7 linked regions of the Sus scrofa genome follow. The protein of the gene in region 2 binds, or shares a complex with, the protein of the main gene of each other region. Links are inferred from orthologs where the notes say so. Each region holds a gene or a part of one and is shown on either strand. Other genes may lie near its edges. The genes, in order: ING3, RUVBL1, UXT, ACTR6, MORF4L2, ANP32E and EPC1.

Region 1 (2,272 bases), on a different chromosome or scaffold from region 2:
CATTATTAAAGAAATAACAGATTACGCAGCATTCTGTGTCCTGGGCCTCTGTCCTTTTTAGATTATGAAAATTGGAAGTTAAATGGAATTCAGAAATTTTCATTATTAAGTGTGTAAAGTATAAATACAAGTAATTTTTTAAAAACTTTATTTTAACACCTAATACAATTCCAATTTTAAGGATTACTTGCACAAAAAAATAAACACATTTGGTATAAAAATGTATCACTTTAACACCCTCTCCCTTCAGCCCCTCCCCCTCCCACCCTCATGAACTGCATTCTATCTGGATGCAGAAACATATAAAGACTAATGGCACAGATTAGTTTTTACCTACAGGAGTTTCTGTTTATGTACCCAGGTACTCTAGAGGACACCAGCCCACTTTATCACATGAACCATTTCCTTCAGCCCGCTGAATTTAGTTTCACAAAGAAACAAAGCTTATTATAAAGGCATTTAAAAAACCATTATCTTAAATTCTTTTTAGAAGCACTGTCTTTTTTTTTTTTTTTTTTTTTTTGCAACCATTTATATACAGTGTTACATAACAGCTCTGGAGTACAGTACATGCAGCAGAACATACCTGTTGAATATAAAATACTTTTCTTAAAATCTTCATCGTTGGAATTCATTGAAGTGTAAATTATAGAATGCCCATTACTTTGAGAAAATGGTTGAGGAGTACAAATGTCTGCATATGTTGGCCACTGAAATAATCCAAGGCTAACTGGAATAATATTCAGAGCACATCAGGAGTGCATAAATAATTTACTTACATTATTAAAATACAACCCATAAAATTCAAGTTCAAGATCTTATAGGATTGTCTATGTAAATCCTTAAAGTGGGTGCTTGGAAATGCATTGTTTCTTCTTTCGCTTTTCTTCTTTTTTAAAGTCCTATATAAAATGTTGAAGTTGTTTTCTTCCTCAAATGAAATGACCACCCTTATTTGTGCCGACTGCCTCTTCTCTTCATGGCAGCAGTGCACTGTGGACAGTACCATTTCCCTTTCGGCGCTTCTGTCAGTCCAACGCATCCATAATGGAACCATTCTATAGGGCACTAGAAAGCAAACATGAAAAGAAACAGCTTTTTGTCAAAGACTAGGAAGAATGGTAAAACGTGCCCAGGAACTAAATATTAATGATTAGATGTGTGGACTCAGATCGAAGAGCTGGATTAGAGATGATTTAGTCCAACTGATAAGTTTCAGAGATAAGGAAATGGAGACATAGAAAATTATGCATCTTTAGCTGAGTTTCACATAATCTATTCTCATAATCTCAACGAACACAAATTCACTGACTTTCATTTGAAGAGTACATCGACACCAACTCACAAGGACAAGAAGTGAGACAGGTCTCTTACATAGAAGGCAAAATGTATTTCCAAGATTTTATTTAATATTCAGCCTTATTTGTGTTCTTACAAAGTAAAATTAGCCAGCTGTAATGAAAGACATAAAGTGATGCCCTGGGTTTCTTTCTGGGTCTATCTATTCCTAGATATGGAGAGAAAAAGAACTCCGCTGTTCAATATATGAAGTGGCTCTACAAGTGCAAAATCCTAGGACTGAGAACAGCACAACTGGGAATGAGAGGGATCAGAGAGTCTGACAGGGTATTCACAGAAATCTCACTCATCATCTTCAATAACCGCCCGAGAAGACAGTTTACAATGGTCTTCTTGAAATGGCTGGGGGCTACTGTTTTGCAATAACCATAAACAACCCACAAGAGAGTCTATAGAGGAAAGTGGAAGGAGAGTCTTTCTCTACCTGAACGTCTTGGGACCCTGGCTGGTTAGGAAAGTACACATTTTTATGAGCCAACCCTGCTCAATCTTCAAACTGTTTTAAACATTTAAAACTCTTAGCCTTAACCTGCAGATCCTGACATTCAGAGTTGTGTTACCCCTCTGGAGGAAAAGATGGACAAAAAGGGGCTGACAGTGAGAAGGGAATGGAAATTACTAGACAAAAATATTCATGGCATTCAATAAAAACATATCTCTAACCCCAATTAAACTTCATAGAAAATAAATAGGAGTTCTTTTCTTTCAAACCTTCTTTATTTTTTATATCAGAAGTGGCTCTTATCAGCTGACACCTGCAAAGCAGTAGGAAATACTACACTAATGGGAGGGAAATAAGCACATGAGAGCCTTCACCTTAGCATCATGCTTCCTGAAAGGATGTATTGTTCTAAAAGTTCCAATTCTTCACTCTGATAAGTGAACTGAATTCTAGCAAACACAGCATTCTTTG
Region 2 (3,500 bases):
TGCAGCAAGACTGACAGTTGGTCTGGAGCCTCCAGCATACAAAATGTTCCTGTGCCAGCAGGCCTGCTGCTGTCCTACCTGGGGCCGTGCGTTGGCCACATCCAAGTCATGCAAGGTCACATCCTGGATGATTTCCTTCTTCTTGTGCACATCCCCCTTGGGCAGGGGGACATACTCCTCAGCTTCAAGGTCGAATTCTGTGGCGTAGGTATCGCACCTGCCCTGCCTCTGCAGAGAGAGAGAGGCCCGAGGCCTGGGGAGTTCCACTGCCAAGTCCCCAAGCGGCCCAGCGCCAAGTGAGATAAAAGTCCCAGGTCCCAACTGCGGCCCAACAGCCGCCTTGACAAACTCCAAACGTGGCCTGCTTCCCTGCTGCCCAGAGGAGGCAGTATCTGCTCATCGCTGTGCTCCAAAACCCAGTTGAAAAACACCCGATACTCTCTCCCAGAATCTCCCCCCTCCTTCCTTTTAACTGTATGCAATTTCTGATAAAGGGCAAATCCAGTACATTAACTGGAGATGGAGGGGCTGTTCAAGACTCTTTTGTAGGTGGGTGATTTATTGTATGATATGAAGTATTATGCTCATCCATTAAGCAGTGAGGAACTCTGTACAGGACACTGAAAATCAGATATAAAAAGAATGCCAACTAATGCAGCATTCCTTTCCACATGCATATATCTTGGGAAGAAAATACCAGAGAGATAAAAGGAAGATTAAATACCTTGTGCATTTCAATTTGAAAATGACTACAGTTCTTTCGTTTTCTCACCGTTCTCCCCCTCTAAACAGGTTTTAGTATTTTTCTAACAGACTGTCTCTGTTTTAATCATGAGAAGGTTAAAGAATGCAGATAAAAGGAAAGCAAACTTGACTAAACATAAAGGAGCAACTGCTGACCTTCCATCAGTATCACAAAAGACACCAGAGTCCCTCCCCACACACCCTGGACCCAGGAAGAAAGGAAGCCACTTCCTGGCCACCTGGGTCTCCTTGTGGCATTACCTTCACAGCCCCACTGTTGGCTTCAATGTAAATCACATCGCCAGCCTCTACTCGCTCTTTCTGCAAACTTTCAAAAATGCTGGGGTCCAGCTTTAAAAAAAAAAAAAAAAAAATAGTGAACCAGAGAACACATTCACATATTGTATTTATTTCTGACATATTTTAAGGTAGCTTTCTGTCAGAGTGTTGAGGTAGCTATGACCCTATGGAAAGAAAAAGAACGTGTGTATACGCACACATGTGTCAGCTTGTGTGAGACTGGCTTTGGGGTTTCAGTGCCCAGTGAAGGCAGGAGAGGGGCACGAAGGGAGACCCAAGCCACTCATTGCCTTTCTTCCCAAGGTTGCAAACTGGCAGCTATGGCTCTGATTGCTTGCAGGTAGGGCCCATACTGTCCACAGGACCACAGACCCAGACACCCATTTTGAGATCGCTTCCCCTGCTTCAATTCTTCACTCTTCCCATGTTAGGCAGGCGTGGTGTTTTTCTGCAAGTGAAGCATGCTAAACCTGCTTACACTTCGTGGCTGGCATTCTGTGGGCCTAAGATTTTGGACAAGCCTCTCTGAGCCTCAGTTTCCTCACCTATATAATGGCACCAGGGGTGACCACCATCACAGACGTGTAAAATTCAAAGAAAACATAAACCAGGATCTTTCCCAAGCCACTCAAGCAAATCCCTGTGTTTGCTCCCTTGAGCCCATCTGCTTATGTCTCCAGAAAAGTAAAGTAGCACATTTTGGAACTGATGCCTTTTTCCAGATCATCCACATTCAGGCTACCCTACGTGATAAATACTCTAAGACAGCATCTTTTTAAGGGGTCAATATTTAGAAACAAGTTTCTCGCAGTTAAACTTCGAAGGGAGCTGTTACTCTCCATTAAACTTTACATTTTATATATGAAAAAACTTCGGCTTTGTTTAATCAAAATTAAAAGGGTAGGAGTTCCCATCGTGGCACAGTGGTTAATGAATCCGACTGGGAACCATGAGGTTGCAGGTTTGGTCCCTGCCCTTGCTCAGTGGGTTAACGATCCGGCGTTGCTGTGAGCTGTGGTGTAGGTTGCAGACGCGGCTCGGATCCCGCGTTGCTGTGGCTCTGGCGTAGGCCAGTGGCTACAGCTCCGATTCGACCTCCATATGCTGCGGGAGCGGCCCAAGAAATAGCAAAAAGACAAAAAAAATAAAATAAAAAAAAAAAAATAAAAGGGTAAAAACCCAGGACTCAGCGAAAAAAGCCAGATATAAAAGTACACATATTGTACAATTCTATTTACATGAACTGTTCAGAAAAGGCAAATATATAGAAACAGAAAGTAGATGAGTGGTTGCCAGGGGCTGAGGTGGCGGGGGGAGGATGGGGAGCTATTGTCAATGTGTTTCTTTTGGGGTAATGAAAATGCTCTAAATTTGGACTGCGGTGATAGCTATACAACTTTGTAAACAGGCTAAAATTCCTTGAGTAATACACTTGAAATGGGTGAATTTTACTTCAAATGAGAACTCAATGAAGTTGTTACAAAGAGTAACTAACCACAGAAGGCACCCATGGCTCTACCTCCTTGGTGAGGTGGGCCCGAGGGCCCTGAGCATGAAGATGGGGGGGTGGCAGGCCCCTGGCGTAGGGCTGGGATGAGGGAAGGACTCCATAAAGGTGACAGCACTTCCTCCTTCACACTTACATATCCGCAGAGTATTTGAACTCTGTCTCTCCAAACAGCTTGTACATATGCTTAAAGCAGCTAGAAGCACTCATTTTAGAAGCAAAACATTCACCCTTTTGTTATTTTCTTAAAAACAAAACAAAGCTGTGCAGAACAGCTTTATGAATAGCTGAAATAAACTGCATGCCTTATTTTATCTAGCCTACTTTGTATAGTACACATTCTTTTTTTTTCTCAATCATTTTTAATCAGTTAATTTCCCAAATGAATTGACTGAAGATGTAATTACTGGAAAGGTGGCAGATCCTACCCAGAAATCTAATTAATACAGAATGGAAGAGATGAGGAGGAGGTTTAAGAGAGAGAGATTTGCAGAGGCAAGCTCCTGAGATGGAAACCCTGTTAGGAAAAAGAAAAATGGCCCTTAGAAGAAGTGACGTTTTTATGATCTCCATAAAGCAGTGACCAAGAAACCACCTTACAGAATCAAAGAACCATAAAATCACAGAGGAGAGCAAAGATGGAGAAATTATATGGTCAGTCCACTGCAGTTCACAGATTGGAAAATGGAAGCCCAGAGAGCTCAACTGACTGCTAAAGGTCACACAGCAAGCTGGAGGACAGACAACACAGTGGTTAGGACTCAGAGACTGCTCTGCCACTAACTAGCGGTGTGATCCTAGGATACCTGCTTAACCTCCCCACAAGCCTCAGCTCCTTCATTTGTAAAATGAGGAAAATCACACACACACACACACACACACACACACACACACACACTCAGATTTGTTGAAGAACTTGGCCCAGGGCACAGACAACAAATGGGAGCAA
Region 3 (2,745 bases), on a different chromosome or scaffold from region 2:
CCTAGAATGAGGACCGGACCAGGGAGGGCGGGCGAGATCGGCCCTGCGCCCATTGCTGGAGCTGTAACTATTTAGAAGCTGGGACAAGGCCAAGGTTGGGCCTAGACGGGCGTGGGTGTAATTTAAGTTACCTGAGGAACGATTGGAGTGTGGGAGAAGGGTAAACTTTAGGGCCAGGAGTGAAAGGTTGATTGCCTTAGGGAACAAACCGCCACCCTGAATCGGCCCGTTCTCTATGGTTAATTCAAGCAGTAGTGCACAGGAAAGGAAATAGAAAGAAGGGTCAGGTGGGGGCCCAGGTTGCCAAGGCGATGGTAGAGAGGGCAGAGCGGAAAGTCAGGTGGCACATTCTGCCAGGAAACAGGCTGGAGGCGGCACTTCAGTGGTGCTTTAAAGATTCTACACAGACTGGATCTCTGCGCCTCCCAGTAACATTGTGCTTTAGAAACGGCACTTTAGCCAACAGCAGAAGTTAATGGGGGAAAGAAGGGCCACGTGACTCAAAGACATTCAGGCTCTTTAATGTCAAGGGAGGTAGGAAGAAGTCAGTGGCGAGGCTCGGGGAAATTCTGCAGACCTTGTAGTTCTCTAAGCCCCTGAAAAAGAGAACAGAAGAGATTGAACGGAGACTGGGTCCAGGCCCCACCTCAGGCTTGCTTGGAACTCCCTTCCCTCAGAGCCAGCCTGGTTCCTGTCTGACTCATTTGGAGGGAAAGATGGCCCTTCCCATCTCTGGCTCTCTCCCTTCCTCAGGACACCACCCTAAATATTTGGAGATAGAGTCTGGGAGTGGGGTGAGCTGCTCTCACCTCTAGCAACATGTGGATATGGGCCTTGATATTCATGGAGTCCTTGGTGAGGCTGTCGCTGAGCCTGGAGAAAAGAAACGAGAAAGGGCGAGGTGGGCCCCACTTAGGATCCGTGAGGATGATGTGCCCTCACCGCTTCAAGAACCGCCTAAGTCCTGGATGACTTCCACACGGCAGGTGGTGGGACCCCTACTACCTGGCCTGCTCCTAGGCAGACATGCCTGGCCGCCATCTGCACTACACTGATTCCAAGACCTTTACTGAATGCCTACTCTATGCCAGGTTGTTTTAGGTACTGGGGAGATAGCAGCAGACATAGCAAACGAAAATCTCGGCCTCTTGGAGCTCAGATTCTCATTAAGGGGGACAGATGATGGAGTAAAATATGGAGTATGTCAGATGGTTAAAATTATAATGAAAAAAAAATTAAATGAGAGAGGATATGGGAGTACAGGAGTGGGGGCTGGAATTCGAATTAGGGTGCTTAGGGATGGCCTCACTGAGAAGCGTTTGAGTAGAGACTTAAAACAAAGAAGCGAGTCATGTGGACATATGGAGGATGTGTGTTCCAGGCACAAGGGGTGGAGAGTGCAAAGGCTCTGAGGTGGGCGCGTACCTGGCATGTCTGAGGCCCAGCGAAGAGGCCAGTGTGGCTGGAGAAGAAAAAGTGAAGTGGGGAGGTAGAGGAGGCGAGGTCACGGAGGTAAGTGGGGGAGATAGTTCGTGTAAAATCTACCAGGCCATGGTGAGGACTCTGGCTTTGACTCTAAGTGGGATGGGAGCAAGGGGAGTATTGTGATCAGAGAAGGGAGGTCAAATGACTAGGGTTTCAGAGGATCCATCTGGCTGCTGTGTGGAGAACCGACTGGGGATAAGGACAGCTGGTGTGGAAGAGGAAGGCCACTGCAGAGGCTGTCGGAATCGTCCAGGTGAGAGATGCAGACTCGGACCGCAGTGGCAGCGGTTGAGGGGATGAGAAATGATTGGAGCTGGGATACTTCTTTGAAGGTAGAGTCAATAGGATTTACCAAAGGAGGATGTTGGATGCAAGAGAGAGAGGACTCAAGGAAGACACCAAGGCTTAAAGCAACTGGAAAGCGGGACCACTCTGGCTCTGGGCTGTTGAGCTACGCCAACCAGCCCATTCCTACCTCCTGACATCTAAGCCAACTGCGACCAGGCTCACCCAAAAGAAGCCTAAGTGATGCAAAGGATAAAAGAAGGCCTTTCTGAAGAATGAGTAAGAGTTAAACAGGACAGTCTTTCACAAGAAGTCCGAGAGGCCGGAAAGAGCTTCTAGAGGAGCAATCAGGAGGCCAGTGTTAGAAAGTAAGTGAATGGTGGAAGGAAAGTGGCACAAGATCCAAGAGGTAGGCAAGGGCTAGATCATGCACGGTCTTGATATCCTGATAAGGAAGGTGGATTCTATTGTGCCGAGTTATCCTGTCAACGTAAGAGTCAGTTTTGGGGAAACTAAATACTGTTAAGAAAAGTAGAAGGCAACGACATAGGATGTTAAATTGGAAAAAAAAAAAAGAGTGTAAACTCATTTATGTATCACTATCTCCCCCCAGTTTTTCTATTTTGGCTCCCCCGCAGCATATGGAGTTCTGGGTTAGGCATCAGATCCAAGCCACAGCTGCTATCTATGCTGCAGCTGCAGCAACACTGGATCCTTTAACCCGCTGTGCCGGGCTGGGTATCGAACCTGCAGCCTGGTGCTGCAGAGATGTGGCCGATCCTGCTGCACCACAGCAGGAACTCCACTATCTCCCAAATTTGTATTTTCTTCTTTGGCTGGGGTGGGGGCATGCAGAGGTTCCCCGGCCAGGGATAGAACCTGTGCCACAGTGGCAACCCGAGCCACAGTGGTGACAACACCAGGTCCTTAAATACCAGGCCGCCAGGGAACTCCCCAAATTTATATTTTCAGTCC
Region 4 (3,986 bases), on a different chromosome or scaffold from region 2:
TTTATTTGTCTTTTTCTAGGGCCGCATCTGAAACTTATGGAGGTTCCCAGCTGGGGGTCTAATCAGAGCTATTGCCTCAGGGTTCCTAGTCGGATTCGTTTCCGCTGCACTATGACAGGACCTCCTCCTGGAGAATTCTTTTTTTTTTTTTTTTTTTTTTTGTTGTTGTTGTTGTTGTTGTTGCTATTTCTTGGGCCGCTACCGCGGCATATGGAGGTTCCCAGGCTAGGGGTCCAATCGGAGCTGTAGCCACCGGCCTACGCCAGAGCCACAGCAATGCGGGATCCGACCCGAGCCGAGCCGCGTCTGCAACCTACACCACAGCTCACGGCAACGCCGGATCGTTAACCCACTGAGCAAGGGCAGGGACCGAACCCGCAACCTCATGGTTCCTAGTCGGATTCGTTAACCACTGCGCCACGACGGGAATTCCCCTGGAAAATTCTTAATACCATCCTGGTTTAAAAAAAAAAAAAGGGCAGGGAGTTCCCATCGTGGCTCAGCAGTAACAAACCTGACTAGTATCCACTAGGATGTGGGTTCAATTCCTGGCCTTGCTCCGTGGGTTAAGTAAGGATCCTGTGTGGCTGCGGCTGTGGTGTAGGCTAGCAGCTACAGCTCCAATTTGACCCCTAGCATGGAAACTTTCATATGCCACAGGTCAGGCCCTAAAAAGACATAAGAAAAAAAGGGGAGAGGGGAACAAGTTCAGCATTCTAACCAGAAAATTAAGTTTCCAATGAGTCAAAGATTTTCAATCTGTAAGATGCTATAGGGTACACAAGTAGGAAGTAGTTTTAAATACAGTTGTTACCCACCATGAGTTTACAGTCTGGTTAGGAAGACAAACTAGAGCCATGATCAGTCATACATGTGTACACATGTATGGTTGTGTATACACACACACACACACACACACACACACACACACACACACACACAAGAAAGGGGGACAGAGTTTATCACCCCAAAACATGCCACTTTAGCATGAGGACTATTTTGAGTTAAAAGCATCAAAATCCTTTTATTAATTGGGGTGATACTGTAAAGATGTTTTGTACCTGATATTTCACTTACTATATTGTCATTTTCTCTCTGTTTAGTCTTTGAGGACATGATTTTTAAAACCTGCACTGTAGCCAATCTTATGGCTATAATTTAATTGTAATTAATTTACTATTCTTGATTATTTAGCTTGCTTCCTCCTCTTTTTTTGTCACCATACAGTGTCTATAAATGATACAGAGAATTCCGGGAGTTCCTGTAGTGACTCAGCAGTAACAAACCAAACTAGTATCCATGAGGCCATGGGTTCAATCCCCGGCCTCGCTCAGTGGGTTAAGGATCCGGCATTGCCGGGACCTGTGGTGTACTTGCAGATGTGGCTCGGATCCTGCGTTGCTGTGGCTGTAGGCCAGCAGCTATAGCTCTGATTCTATCCATAGCCTGGGCACTTCCATATGCCTCGGGTGAGCCCCTAAAAAAAAGACCAAAAAAAAAATGATACAGAGAATTCTGTACCTACTCTTATCAGGAACTCATAAATTATTCCTCAGGTAACTAATAAGAGAATAGCTGTTGGCAGACAAGAACAATGATACACATTGCCAAAATAAGACCGTAACAATTTACATTCCTATGCAGTTTGTTCTCTCAAAAATGAAAAGAGGTAAGAAGGGGAAAAAGTGTCTTGTGAATATGCCAGAATAAAAGCACATCTTTCAATTTGCTTAGTCTTTTTTTGTCTTTTTGTCTTTTTAGGGCCGCACCTGCAGCATATGGGGGTTCCCAGGCTAGGGGTTGAATTGGAGCTGCAGCCGCCAGCCTATACCACAGCGACAACACGGGATCCAAGCCGTGCCTGAGACCTACACAGTTCACCGAAACGCCAGATCCTTAACCCACTGAGCAACACCAGGGATCAAACCCATGTCTTCACGGATGCTAGTCAGGTTCATTAACCGCTGAGCCACAGACAGGAACTCCCTACATTTGCTTAGTATTTACTCAAACATATATACTTCACGAATGCCACTATAGTATTGCTTAACTGAGTCAAGTGCCAAGCCAAAGAGCACTTGGAAGGGCTTAAGTACAAAGCCTCAAAGTCTCTAGCCACTAAGTGGTTTTCACACTTTTGGAGTTCATAGAACCCTTTGAGGAGCGGACGAAAGCCGTAAAACGGAGTTCCCTGTGTCGCTCAGCGGTTTATGCCTGGGAACTCACACATGGAGATGGGTGCGTCCCTAAAAAGCCAAAAAAAAAAAAAAAAAAAAAGCTGTAACAGTGTCCCTAAGAAAATGCATAAACACACAAAATGCCCATGATTCCTGAGGATTCATGAATTCATGAACTTTGCGCAGGGAACCCTCCCCCTATGTCCGGAACGGCTTCCCTACAAGCCTATTTTCCTGAGCCATTTCCTGTTATGAAACAAAACACGCGACCCACTTCCGGGGCCCAGGGGCCCAAAATTAATAACAAAGTCCCACTTCAAAGCATCCCAACAGCCCGGCTCCAACCACGGCATCCCTCTGGCTGAATGAGGGCCTCGCAGGGGAGTTTACTGACATCCCACGATGAAGCGCAGCATCTGTAACTTATTAGGTCTGTAGGCCTTGTCCCTCAGAGGAACCGTACACTTACGAGACATTTTCATGGCTGTAACCAATTTTTGCATTGTAGGCTCCGTTATCCAGTACTAAGGTCGTCATTTTAGCGCGAAAGACACCAAGGCAGCTTTCCTTTCCCAACCCTTCTGCTCACGCTTTTTCCGGTACTCTATGGTTTGCACCCAGGGAGCCGGAAGAGCGTTTCCTGTATCCCTTAGCAACTGAGGACGCCGGAAGTCAGAAAGTGCTTGGCGTCGCGCAACTTGTCTGCAATTGTTTTAGGGTGCTTCCTATCCAAACTCATGTAAGTTCTGGCCACATTCAATAAAAGGAAAATCGCTGCTTTTTCCGCCCAATGCGTGCTGCCTTTACTTTGCAGATTAAGTCGCTCTTGGAAGTTTCTTATAATGCCTGTAAGGAACTAGCATTGCGGGGTTTGCTGCGCAAACGTTAGGGGTGCATGTGTATTCAAATGGTATTGTTTAGACAGTGACATTGAAACTGACAGCATTAAGGGCCTGAACACAAAATGGGACTTGCACTTAGGTGCTGGGGACCAGAGCCCACGTTTTAAATTAGCATTCACCCAATGTCTGGACTTAATGACGTTCAGGTTCTTAATGCCTCTGAGCAGAAGGAATTCAGCGACAGACAAAGTGATAGGCAAGAAATAGGTTTATTAGGATAGAAGCTTAGGAGAGATGCAAGCAGGCAGGCAAGGAAGCTCTGCCCCAGGAGGATACTGGTGGGCTACAGTTTTATCATCCAAGGGGAGTGGGGATCAGAAAAGACCGCCTCTTCCTTTACTAGCTCCTCCTTGATATCCGGTAAGGTGTGTATTCAAATCAGCAAAGGGGTGGTCCTCAAATTCCTTCCCAAGGTCTGAATCTGAATGCAGGCCTCATCCCATCCCCCACTCAACGACCTAAGGCAATTCTCGGACCTCCCCTAGTCCAGCAAGCCTGCCCTATCCTGAAGGCTTCTTTGAGCAATTTATTAACTTACAATGACCTCCCCAAATCCCCTAGATTTCCCTCTCTCTCTATGATCCTTTATTAGGACTTTTACAACTGCCTGTGCCTACTCCATCCCCATCAAAGTCGTTTGAAGAATAAATTGCAAAACCTTATGCACCATGGAATTGGATAGGAGGACTCCAGCTTCATTACTTGCCACTGCCCATCCGACTGTATCCAACCACCCTGTTACAAATATGCTGTTCCGTCAACAGCCGTGCTTTCTAGCACTCACATTCTTCCCTGTCTACTTGTCCTTTTGGATGGGGCTTTTTTTTTTTTAATGGCCACAACCCTGCCTTACGGAAGTTCCCAGGCCAGAGATTTAATCCCAGCCAGAGCTGTGACCCTTGCCTGC
Region 5 (3,986 bases), on a different chromosome or scaffold from region 2:
ATTTACCCTGATTTCTGATAAACTAGTTTGTTTTTGCCTTTAAAAAATTTTAATTAAGGATAATTGCAAATGGATAAAAATGTAGAGGGAATAATATTATAAGCCTATGCGAATCTATCCTCCAGCTTCAACAATTACCAACTGAAGGCCATCTTGTTTTATCTATAACCCCACCCACTGCTCCCCCCCCACTCCGTTTTTTTCAAGCTCAGTGAATAGCTGACTTTCTGTATTTTATTATGGAAAATTTCAAACATATACCAAGAAAGCCAGTATAATTTAAGAAATCATATATGCCCATCACTCAGCTTAAACGATTAACTTAGGGCCAATTTGGTTTCATCTATACCCCTCCCCACGTCCCCCTACCGCTGAGATTATTTTGAAGCAAATCATAGATATCAACATATTTTGAAGCCAATCTCAGACATTTTACTATTTAATCCGTATTTTCATATATATTGCTACAAGCTAAAGACAATTTGAAACCATAACCACAATACCATTTTAACGTCTAAAACATCGTCATCAATTTCCCCCAAAAAATCGAATTTGAATACGACTTCAAAATATCCCGATGCATCTTAAACAGTTTTTTAAAAAAATATAGTTAATGTGTCCGAATCAGGATCCAAACAAGGCCTACTCATCGCATGTGGTTCATCTCCAGCTCGCTCATTCTCCATCTCTCCCCACCCCCATCCCCCCCGCCGCTTTTTTTTTAAACTTTTCAATATGGAAAATTCCAATCCCCGCTATTTTGAGGCAATTCCCAAATAAACTATTCCATCGGTAAAAACTGATACGTCTCTTTTATATCTCGAATTTCTTCTAGGGGAGGAGATGATGGGCAGGAAAAACACTATAATGAACGACTTTACATAATTTATGTTTTCTTTCTCTATTACGCGTTTTTTTCTCTCCATAATAACAGCTAATATCTTCCGGAGTCAGGCTTCATATTAAGTTATTAAGCGTATTATATTATATTACTTTGCATTCGTTAGTTATACGCACTAATATACAGCACACGCCTCTGAGGCACACGTCTCTGAGGTAGATACTATTATTATCACCATTTTACAAACATGGAAACCGAGACACAGAAAGAACGGGAGCCAGCCCAAGCTGGGCGTTGGCGAGTAGGCATTTGAATCTAGCTCTGCCTGATTGTGAAGCCATCAGTTAATCTTGTCTATATACGCAACGATAAGAGGAAATCGGCAACCCTTTCTCCCCACCCCCACCCCGAAACCTGAAACGAGAATCCAGTTCTTTCCAGCAGCCGACGTGTGATCACTGCCGACCCTCCAACCGCCATAGTAAAGCCAGGTTTCTCTGGCAACTGATATCCATAGGCAGACACGTCACCCTGGAGGCGGGCTTACGCCCTCTAGCCAATCACAATCGTCTTGCCTAAGTTTTAGAATGTTCCATAACCAAATGATTGGTGGAAGCCCACCACGTCAGCAATGACACTTAGCCGCAGTAAAGGCGGGTGCTAGCAACCTGCTTCTTCACGGTTAAGACTTGAGGAAAACCAATCACCTTCCTCCTTTAGTGCGGACTGTGGCCAATGACGTTCGCCCTCTTAGGTTCTTAGCCCGCCCCCCAAAAGCGCGACAGCAGTTGGGTCATAAGTCTATAGGGCAGGGTGTTCACGTGGCCTATTTTCACGACCCAGAGTTCCTCTGACCAGAGGTTTTTTCTTTTTTTTTTTTTCTTTCTTTCTTTTTTTTTTTTTTTTTTCCTGCAGGGAGGCATTATGGGTTTTTTTTCCACTGGGAAAGGAAGTGTCTACGTGGCCTGCGGAAACAGGATGGGCGGAAATGAGCTAAAGTTCCCGCGAGTGGGGAAGCGCGAGGTCAAATCTGGGGCCACGCCCCCAACCTCTTGCGCAACTCTTGGAGAAAAAAAAAAAGGCAGAGTGGGGTTTCGGTGTGTATGCTGGTGGCGGGTGGCGGCGTGCTGCGGCCGTGTGGTGTCAGGGCCACGGCGTTTGTGCGCAGGCGAGCCCGCGTGGCCTTGGGGATGGCTTATGCGCGAACGCCAGGCCTCGTGGCGTTGGAGGCGGGTGTGCGCAGGCGTGCGCCCCTAGCGTTGGGGCCGTTGTGTGTCGCCGAGCGGGTGCGTGCGCCTTCGTGTGTGTGTGTGTGTGTGTGTGTGAGTGTGTGTACACGCGCGCGCACGGATGTGTGCGGGGGCGCGCGCTCTGTAAGAATCGTTTTCTACTTTCGTAGGTTTGAATATTGTTCTGATGAAAAGGAAAATCATTAAATAGTTAAGGCAAGGCGACCGTAACTAAGATAAAGGGTCTTTGCTAGGGATATTTCGATCTCTCATCGATTTAATTTTAAACCCTAAAATTACACTTTCTTCCCACGTTTTTTTCCGTGTCAAAATCCTGTATTAAACCCTAGCCCTCCAGTGGTTAAAAGCCGAACCTTCCCGTTCCTATATTAGCAATTCCACGAAACAGTTTCTTTCCTGTTCCCTAATAACCTTCTCCCCACCTCTTACCCGCTCCCTCCCCTCCCCCCTTCCCCAAGTTTTGTACAATTCTCTTGGCACAAACAATTTTCTGCAGAGAATATCTATATACAACAGACTTCCCCTCCACTAGGGACTCCCAATTTCTGTAGGAGTTGAGGCTCTCTTACCTTTCACTCCTGATCTCCAAGCAGTGTGCTCTTCAGGCAAGTACGCGCTCAGTTAATTTTCCAGAAAGTTCTCTGGATGAGGTTTATACCTTTTGCATCTGCCACTAGATGCCGCCAAATTCCATCAAAGGATTGGCTGTTTGGTCCCTGGAATTATGGGATTCCCCCCCCCTTTCTGATTTGCTGAACTCTTCAATCTATAGAAATCACTCATATATATTTCATTGCTGGGGAAAAATCAATTTAATTTCTGTTAATTGCTCTATCAGGAGACTATGGCCCTAGATACAAATGTTTTACCTCATTTCCTTATTAAAAAAAATCACCCCTCCCATTCTTCTTTCTTTCTTGCCTTTTTTTTTTTTTGCCAGGGGTGGGCAGTCAGAACTGATGAAAGACTTGAGGTACTGGTGCTGATGAAGATTGGAAGCGTCTCTGGGGTTAGGATCTTCACTTCAAGTGCTTCCCTCACCCTTACCCACCCCCACCCCAAGTGAAAATATAGATGGCTTGTTTAGTTAGTAAAGACATACATCTTTACTGGACTTGGACCCAATTACTGAAAACTGATTTTCTTTTCCTCTTGAAATTATGATTAGGTATGTGTTTCTACCCTGTTTTCTGTAGTGGTACTGGTAAACCGTATTATGTTTTTGGAGTCAAAGACCTGATTTTAAACCTTACTCCACCATTTACTAGTTCTGAGGCCCTGGGATTTATATGCTGTGCTTTCAGGTTTTTTTTTGCATGCCTTCTGTGTTTTAGGTAGTGTTACCATATTCTTCACACAGATATTCTTTTCTTCTTCACAAAATCCTTATTAGATGGATACTAATCAAAATCAAACAAAAGTTGTACCTCTTTCAGTTATAGATCCTATACATGTGTGCATGCACGCAGGTATGCGCTCATAAATACGCACACATACACCCCCCCCCCCCCCCGGGGAATGGGTGAGGTTTAGAGCAGAGGTTCTCAAAGTGTGTTTCCCAGACTCACCGGTAGCATCATTATCACCTTTTGGGAAGTTGTCAGAAATTTATAGTCTCAGGCCTCACCTCCAACCTAACCAGTCAGAAATTCTAGGAGTAGGGTTTGGCTTTCTGTGTTACGACAGATAACAAACTGTTCTGGTTATTCCAGCGCACACCGAAGTTAAAAAGCACTGCTTTGAAGAGCAGAAATAAAATGCTTATTTTTGTACACTCCACTAGAGGGTGCTGCAGAATGTAAAGCCAAAAAAAAAAAAAAAAAAAAAAAAAAAAGTACATGTTCTATTGAGACACCCTGCATGTTCTCTGTCCCGTTTCACAGATTAAAAATTAT
Region 6 (3,500 bases), on a different chromosome or scaffold from region 2:
CTTTAAATACTCAAAATTTTTAAAGCTGCTAACTCGCTAAGGCCCCAAACAAGTTTAAGTCCCATTTTTTCTGCAGGAGTTTCATAATTTTTTTGTTGTTGTTGTCTTTTTGGGCCACTCTTACAGCATATGGAGGTTCCCAGGCTAGGGGTCGAATCGGAGCTATAGCCACCGGCCTACACCAGAGCCACAGCAACTCGGGATCGGAGCCACGTCTGCAACCTACACCACAGCTCACAGCAACACCAGATCCTTAACCCACTGAGCAAGGCCAGGGATTGAACCCGCAACCTCATGGTTCCTAGTCAGATTCGTTAACCACTGCGCCACAACGGGAACTCCAGGAGTTTCATATTTTATTTATTTATTTATTTATTTATTTGTCTTTTTGCTATTTCTTGGGCCGCTCCTGCGGCATATGGAGGTTCCCAGGCTAGGGGTCTAATCGGAGCTGTAGCCACAAGCCTACGCCAGAGCCACAGCAACGCGGGATCTGAGCCCCATCTGCAACCTACACCACAGCTCACGGCAACGCCGGATCATTAACCCACTGAGCAAGGGCAGGGACCGAACCCGCAACCTCATGGTTCCTAGTCGGATTCGTTAACCACTGCACCACGACGGGAACTCCAGGAGTTTCATATTTTAAACAGTATCAGAGAGAAGTCATCATTATTCTGTGATAGTCTTATCTAACCAATGTAAAATTCATTAGGAGAACAAATAAGAATACTAAAAATTTCTAGTCTAAATAAGAGATTTTTTTAATAATAAATATTACTTTAAATTATGAAGTATGAAAACAAAATTCAATAATTTAACATGAGGAGAAAATAATTTAAACTCCCAGGGGCTAAAGATCATTTGTTCAAGTCAATTGATATTTCCTGTGAACCTACTACGTCCCAGTCAATGTAGTAGATGCTGAGAGATATGAAGATGAATGGCCCTTCCCTGAAGGAGCGATCTAGCAGAACGTGGCCAAATAAACAAGTTTTTACAGCATCTACAGAATCTAACCAAAGTTCAAAGGTAACAGAGTATGGAATGATTACCTATTAAAAAGTATAGGTGGGAGTTCCCTTCATGCTCAGTGGTTAATGAACCCAACTAGGATCCATAAGGATGTGGGTTCGATCCCTGGCCTCACTCAGTGGGTTAAGGATCTGGAGTTGCCATGAGCTGTGGCCTAGGCCCCCAACCTGGGAACTTCCATATGCCACAGGTCCAGCCCTAAAAAAAAAAAAAAAAAAAAAAAAAAAAAAATGTATAGAAAACTTCAGTAATAAGGCAACTCCAGAGTTGAGGTTTTTTTTTTTTGTCTTTTGTTGTTGTTGTTGTTGCTATTTCTTAGGCTGCTCCCGCGGCATATGGAGGTTCCCAGGCTAGGGGTCCAATCGGAGCTGCAGCCACCGGCCTACGCCAGAGCCACAGCAACGCGGGATCCGAGCCGCGTCTGCAACCTACACCACAGCTCACGGCAATGCCGGATCATTAACCCACTGAGCAAGGGCAGGGACCGAACCCGCAACCTCATGGTTCCTAGTCGGATTTGTTAACCACTGCGCCATGACGGGAACTCCCAGAGTTGAGTTTTTAAAGAATCACAAGGCATAATATGAGTGGTAGTTACATGTGTACATATATAACATTTCATGGAGTTATACATAAAATCAGTACACTTTACGGTATTTATCTTTGCCTGAAAAAAAAAAAAAAAAAGAAAGTTCATCAGAAGGCATGAACCCCATTTTAGATAAACAATGTGTGAATAGACAGAAGGGCAATGAGAGCTTCATGTATGATTTGATTTGGTATTGAGGGAGATGAAGCTAGAGAAGGAAGCAGAGGCTAGATAATGAAAGGCCTTGTAAGTCTGGTGGCAACAGAGAGACATTAAAGGGTTTCAAGTAGGCTAGTGATGGGCTCACATTTGCATGCAGACTAGGCAGGCAAACACTGTGGAGGGTACACCTAAGTGGCAACCGCTGTTCTCAGAGAGACCATTTAGAAAAGTACTAGAAGAGTAAAGGCAAGAAATAATTAGGGGAAAAGCAAGTCTTCATGAGTGCCCACAACATGCCAGCAACTAGATTCTTTACATATATTATTTCATTAAATCCTTAAATTGACCCTAGGAGATTGGTATAATCTCGTTTTTATAAATGTAGAAACAGGCGTGGAAACATTGTAAAATGTGTACACTACACCATGGTGCTGAGGGCAGAATGAATCTGAAAGATAACTGGGAGGTAAAATCACAGGGTTCATGATTATCTGGATGTCGTATGAACTGGGAGGCAGTGGAAAAAAGACAGGCAGACACACACACACACACACAAATTAGAAACAACTCTGATTTCTACACAACTTACTTTTTATATTACATAACCCTATGCCTAAATAATTTTCAATGCACATAAGAAGGTCTATTCACCTGAATTTCTTCTTTCATTAAGTAGGAGAGGCCCACTTCCTCTTCTCCCTCTCCCAGTTCTGAGCCTGCTTCATCTTCATCCTCATCATCATCCTCGTCCTCCTCTTCTTCTTCCTCTTCCTCATATCCTTCAGGTGGACCAGCTTCATCTTCCTCTTCATCTTCATCATCTTCATCTCCATCTTTAAAATATTTTAAGAGATAAGCAAATGTCTGGACAAATGTCTTTGGCTAGTATGTTGATCTTTTTTGCCCTGGCCCTTAAAACTCTTAAGCCAGTGGGTGGAAAGTATCTCAGTGTGATTATTTTGGAGATTTCTCTTTTACAACATCCATATTTACTGTCTGAAATATATGGTGTCTAAATATTGAAATTTCCCCAACATATAGATTTTCATCAAAACATTACATGTACTAAAGTTTGTTTTACTTCAAAAATACTTCAAAAACCTGCCTGTCCATCATTTTATAACATAGCTTATCCATCAAATTTCTTCTTATAAGAACTTTTCAACCAATGATAACAGTGTCCCATTACTAACAATAGCTATTCTACCATCTGATCTATTAGTCACTCATATATCCAAAAACGTATTCACCTCTCTAGAACATTTCCATGACCCCCTCAAAAAAACCCCTATCCATTAGCAGTCACTCACCATCCTCCTCTCCCCCAGCCCTGGCAACCATTAATCTACTTTGTCTCTATGAATTTGTCTCTATGGGACATTTCATATAAATGGTGTCATTAATGTGGCTTTTGAGTATGGCTTCTTCCACTTAGCAGAATTGTTTTTAAGGTTCACTCACATTGTAACATGTATCAGCACTTCATTTTTAGGGCTGATATATTCAACATTCCATTGTATGGATACATTACATTTTGTTTATCCATTCATCAGTCACTGACATCTGAGTTGTTTCTACTTTGTGACTTTTATGGATAATTCTGTGATGAATGTTTTTTTTTTCCCCCCAAGTCTATTTTAAAAGTTGCCACATTTACTGGGTGGTGGTTACACAAATATAATAACTTCATGGAGCATAATATTATAATAATCAT
Region 7 (3,500 bases), on a different chromosome or scaffold from region 2:
CACCACTAAAACGAAGTGTTGGAGAAGAAATATGCTAGTAGAACATTTCAGTGATTTGCAATGAATCAATGAATGAATAAATTCATATAAGGAACAAATAAGTATGTAAACTTCCATCGCCAAACTTACACATATACACACACACAATATCAAAGGAACCTATGGGGCAATAAGATTAACTCTTCCCTTTAAAATAGAAGTAACAAAACATCACATCCAAACTTAGCCAGCCTAAAGATTAAGAAGCCCCTTCAATTTTTTTACAATGAATTTTTCCCCTAAGATGTTTAGAAATACAAATCTTGGTCTTTAATTGGGCTTTAAAATGTGTTTAAATGCCAAACATCTGTCACGCTTTACGTTCAAAAGTGATTTCTTTTCATAGTATAAGAGGTCATTTTCATCCAATTTTTAATAACCTTTAATAGTAATTTCACTCTCTCAGATAATGAGCTGGGCAGGGTTGTCTGTTAAGGAGATACATTCACAGATTACAAATCGGACTTGAACACAGGGTCTGCCTCTCATCTGACTGAGCGTTTTAGTTTTAGTTTTTAAAATAGGGAGCAGAGGGTGACAGCTTCTATACTCACCTGTAATGTTCTTTCTAAACCCTGTACAGAATGGCTAGGATGCAGATTCAGGCGAAAGCCACTTTGCTGCTCTTTAGATGCAAGGTTCTATGACAACAGTTGGTAATTAGAGATGAACTCTGGTGGGAAACAATGAGGGATAATCATGAGACAGACAAACCTCTCACCTGTGCAGTGGTGGAGGCGGAATTGCTATCTGCTTGCTGTTGCTGAGTTTGTGCAAGCTGCTGTTTCTGCATTAGCGCCAGTTGCTGTTGATGCTGCTGGTATTGTTCGGCTGTAAATGCTAAACATAAAATGAGAAAACACTTTACAAAAACGCACTGCTATTGCGCACCTCTAACCATATACTAGAACGAACTTGAGCATTTTAAAAGATTTTGTGCAGATCTAAAGCATTTTAACAACCTGCTAAAGATCGCCTCCAAACGAAAATCTCAGCATTTTTATAACCACTCTTAACAAGAGTGTCTTGAGTTTAAAGAAATCAAGCTTTCTGAGTTACACCTAGGAAAGAGAAGGTCTCACTTCCCAAGTTTCAAAACCATTATTTTTGTAAGCTCTGACACTTGTGCGAGACAGTGTAAAGGGTAATACCAGCTTTTTAAATCCACATAGTTGAAATTTCAACTCTACACTCAGCTGGAGAAGAAATCTGATAATTACCATTTGGTTTCTAGTTTATTTGTATTACTGTCCCAATGCATTCAGATGATCCCTAGCAGTTCTGTGTAAAAATACTAACTATTCTACATATATTCTAGTTTTAGCCATTACAAACTCTTCCTCTATATGAAATATAAGGTTGTTTATTACCCTTTTTTTTTTTTTTTTTTTGGTAAAGAACCCATCCTTTAAGTTTAATAGGAAGAAAAGAGGCTCCAAAGGTTAATTTTCCCCACCCAATTAACCCACCTGGAAAAAATCCAGTCAATAAGAACGGAGTTGTTTATGTTGGTTTACTGTACAGAATGATGTCTGAGGAAAGACACTGTGTTATGCTACTTATGTTTGTCTATGGAGAGCTCAGTTCTAAAAAAAACAAACAAAAAAATGTTCATTTATTACCCCCCCAAAAAGTGTGTGCAGCTTTTAAAAAGGAAACCTTTTTCTTTTTTTTTTTTTTTTTTTTTTGCCAATTAAAAAAAAAAGAAAAAAAAAAAAAAGCACATACAATCACAACGTCTGACTTTCAAAGGCTTCTTTAAGAAGCCTGTGATGTTTGGGTAAGAATTATTTTAAAATAAACAAAAAAAAAAAGGGTTATCATGCATCCCTGACTTAGGGAATCTATAAACCATGCATACTACCTCAATCTAAAGTTTAATGTTTTCAAAAGACTGTCAACTAGTTGATTATTGTCTTTAACTGCATTTTGATGATTTAGTTAAAATACTACTTCATCAAGTTTTGTAATTTTCACTCACAACTCATAAAGAATCTTTATCTCCCGGGATATAGCTTCTGTCTAAGACAACTACAAAATGCTTCAATAGATGTTAGGTAGAAATTCTACCATATTTTGAATAAATCAGATAACTGCAAAGTAATAGTTAAGAAAACCTCAGAAGTTATTAGTATTTACACAGGTTCTTATACTTCAGCTGAACAATTCTCTTAGGCTATAAAGACAAAAAGTTTCTTGTTGGAAAAATGCTATGATTCGTTTTCTTCTTCTGGGTGTTACAAATCTGGTTGCAATCCCTCCTTTGACCAGTTTCTTTTCCTAGTGTGCAGTCCTCAGACCTGAATTCTCCAGGAAAAGACTTTATTGATTAGAGGATAATCCCCAAATCAAAGTCACTGTCAACATGACCATTTCCATATAACAGAAATGGGGTTAAATCAGAATTGAAGAAAAAGTGAAAAAATAATGCTTCCCTGAACGAATGTTTGTGATTAACATAATATTTAGCTTTATTTAAAAAAAAGTCCGTAAAAAGCAACTGTTTAAAACAAAAGATACTGAATTTATCAGATAGTTTTGCTAATATGTTCTTGCGATTTATACTTTAATTTCCTAAGTTTGCGTGAGATGCCTAAATCTTGAGTTTCCTCATAGGAAATGCTTAGTCAACTTTTAAAAAAAGAAAAGAAAACAGACCATTTCTGAAAGGTGTCATTATACATCTAGAAGACAGTAACTTAGCATTCATTATAAAGATCTATGTATAAAACTCCATGTATATAAATGAAAATATTCTTTTATAGAACTTTGCTCGTGTTAGTGTGTTTTAATGAAAAAATTAGCAATATTTAAATTGGAAATCAATTTGAATAAAAGTTCCAAATATTTTTGCCCTATTTAAATCAACATTTTAGTCTTTAGTCTTTGAGAGTTTTATAGGAATTTTACATTTTAACAACTGTTAACTTCCTCCTGATACAGATTTAGACATAAAAATGCAACTAAGTTAGATGACTGTGCTATAGATTCTAGAGCCCTATGATATCAGCCTTTCTTGAACATCTCTATACTCCAGAGTCCAGTTATGAAGTCCTTTTCCAGCCATGAGGTGCTAAACTTTTATATTTCTTTGGAGAAATAAAATTCCAATCCAAATGGCTGTATGAATGAATGGGAAAGTTTGGACAAAGGTAAGGCAGTAAATTTGGGCAAATAAAATCTAGGCTACGTTTTACACTGAGGCAACCTTGGACGTCATGATAATTCAAACTGTAATGCTCAGTGGAAATAAACAAAAATGACCATATTTCCCTAAATCTCTATCCAGGAAGAAAGTTTTCAGGTTGCATGTCTAAGGATTCCAGATAAGGTGTGGCAGTCAAGTTTGCAGTTCACACAAAGATGGACAAGATGGTTTTGTGGACAGATGACCAAACCTTGAATCAGAATCATTTCAGAGAAACACGTAATTTTAAATCAGGAGGGATTCTTGGTGGTTT

The links.
Region 1: RUVBL1 (region 2) and ING3 share a complex: the UniProt entries of both Homo sapiens proteins name them as parts of the SWR1-like complex. The link is inferred for Sus scrofa from reciprocal best matches to the Homo sapiens genes RUVBL1 and ING3.
Region 3: RUVBL1 (region 2) and UXT share a complex: the UniProt entries of both Homo sapiens proteins name them as parts of the PAQosome complex. The link is inferred for Sus scrofa from reciprocal best matches to the Homo sapiens genes RUVBL1 and UXT.
Region 4: the proteins of RUVBL1 (region 2) and ACTR6 are in contact, whole or in part, in a cryo-EM structure (PDB 6IGM), measured with the Homo sapiens proteins. The link is inferred for Sus scrofa from reciprocal best matches to the Homo sapiens genes RUVBL1 and ACTR6. Residues at the interface, in NP_003698.1 of Homo sapiens: Lys162, Thr163, Ala164, Lys165, Gly166, Thr167, Tyr209; in NP_071941.1 of Homo sapiens: Tyr217, Tyr300, Arg338, Cys339, Leu340, Thr341, Pro342, Thr343.
Region 5: RUVBL1 (region 2) and MORF4L2 share a complex: the UniProt entries of both Homo sapiens proteins name them as parts of the nuA4 histone acetyltransferase complex. The link is inferred for Sus scrofa from reciprocal best matches to the Homo sapiens genes RUVBL1 and MORF4L2.
Region 6: RUVBL1 (region 2) and ANP32E share a complex: the UniProt entries of both Homo sapiens proteins name them as parts of the SWR1-like complex. The link is inferred for Sus scrofa from reciprocal best matches to the Homo sapiens genes RUVBL1 and ANP32E.
Region 7: RUVBL1 (region 2) and EPC1 share a complex: the UniProt entries of both Homo sapiens proteins name them as parts of the nuA4-related complex. The link is inferred for Sus scrofa from reciprocal best matches to the Homo sapiens genes RUVBL1 and EPC1.

What each region holds. Positions count from the first base shown.
Region 1 is NC_010460.4:25,947,956-25,950,227, forward strand, and holds the end of ING3 (inhibitor of growth protein 3), read right to left. Parts: intron 1,069-2,272; coding exon 952-1,068; 3' UTR 501-951; downstream 1-500. UniProt on the Homo sapiens protein: Component of the NuA4 histone acetyltransferase (HAT) complex which is involved in transcriptional activation of select genes principally by acetylation of nucleosomal histones H4 and H2A.
Region 2 is NC_010455.5:72,227,881-72,231,380, reverse strand, and holds part of RUVBL1 (ruvB-like 1), read right to left. Parts: intron 1,096-3,500; coding exon 1,006-1,095; intron 229-1,005; coding exon 79-228; intron 1-78. UniProt on the Homo sapiens protein: Possesses single-stranded DNA-stimulated ATPase and ATP-dependent DNA helicase (3' to 5') activity; hexamerization is thought to be critical for ATP hydrolysis and adjacent subunits in the ring-like structure contribute to the ATPase activity.
Region 3 is NC_010461.5:42,175,642-42,178,386, forward strand, and holds the end of UXT (protein UXT), read right to left. Parts: intron 874-2,745; coding exon 810-873; intron 597-809; coding exon 546-596; 3' UTR 501-545; downstream 1-500. UniProt on the Homo sapiens protein: Involved in gene transcription regulation. Acts in concert with the corepressor URI1 to regulate androgen receptor AR-mediated transcription. Together with URI1, associates with chromatin to the NKX3-1 promoter region.
Region 4 is NC_010447.5:83,926,277-83,930,262, forward strand, and holds the start of ACTR6 (actin-related protein 6), read right to left. Parts: upstream 2,801-3,986; 5' UTR 2,715-2,800; coding exon 2,647-2,714; intron 1-2,646. UniProt on the Homo sapiens protein: Required for formation and/or maintenance of proper nucleolar structure and function. Plays a dual role in the regulation of ribosomal DNA (rDNA) transcription.
Region 5 is NC_010461.5:84,563,505-84,567,490, forward strand, and holds the start of MORF4L2 (mortality factor 4-like protein 2), read right to left. Parts: upstream 2,801-3,986; 5' UTR 2,661-2,800; intron 1,537-2,660; exon of another isoform or gene 1,256-1,536; intron 1-1,255. UniProt on the Homo sapiens protein: Component of the NuA4 histone acetyltransferase complex which is involved in transcriptional activation of select genes principally by acetylation of nucleosomal histone H4 and H2A.
Region 6 is NC_010446.5:98,855,614-98,859,113, reverse strand, and holds part of ANP32E (acidic leucine-rich nuclear phosphoprotein 32 family member E), read right to left. Parts: intron 2,620-3,500; coding exon 2,438-2,619; intron 1-2,437. UniProt on the Homo sapiens protein: Histone chaperone that specifically mediates the genome-wide removal of histone H2A.Z/H2AZ1 from the nucleosome: removes H2A.Z/H2AZ1 from its normal sites of deposition, especially from enhancer and insulator regions.
Region 7 is NC_010452.4:42,839,523-42,843,022, forward strand, and holds part of EPC1 (enhancer of polycomb homolog 1), read right to left. Parts: intron 880-3,500; coding exon 761-879; intron 681-760; coding exon 594-680; intron 1-593. UniProt on the Homo sapiens protein: Component of the NuA4 histone acetyltransferase (HAT) complex, a multiprotein complex involved in transcriptional activation of select genes principally by acetylation of nucleosomal histones H4 and H2A.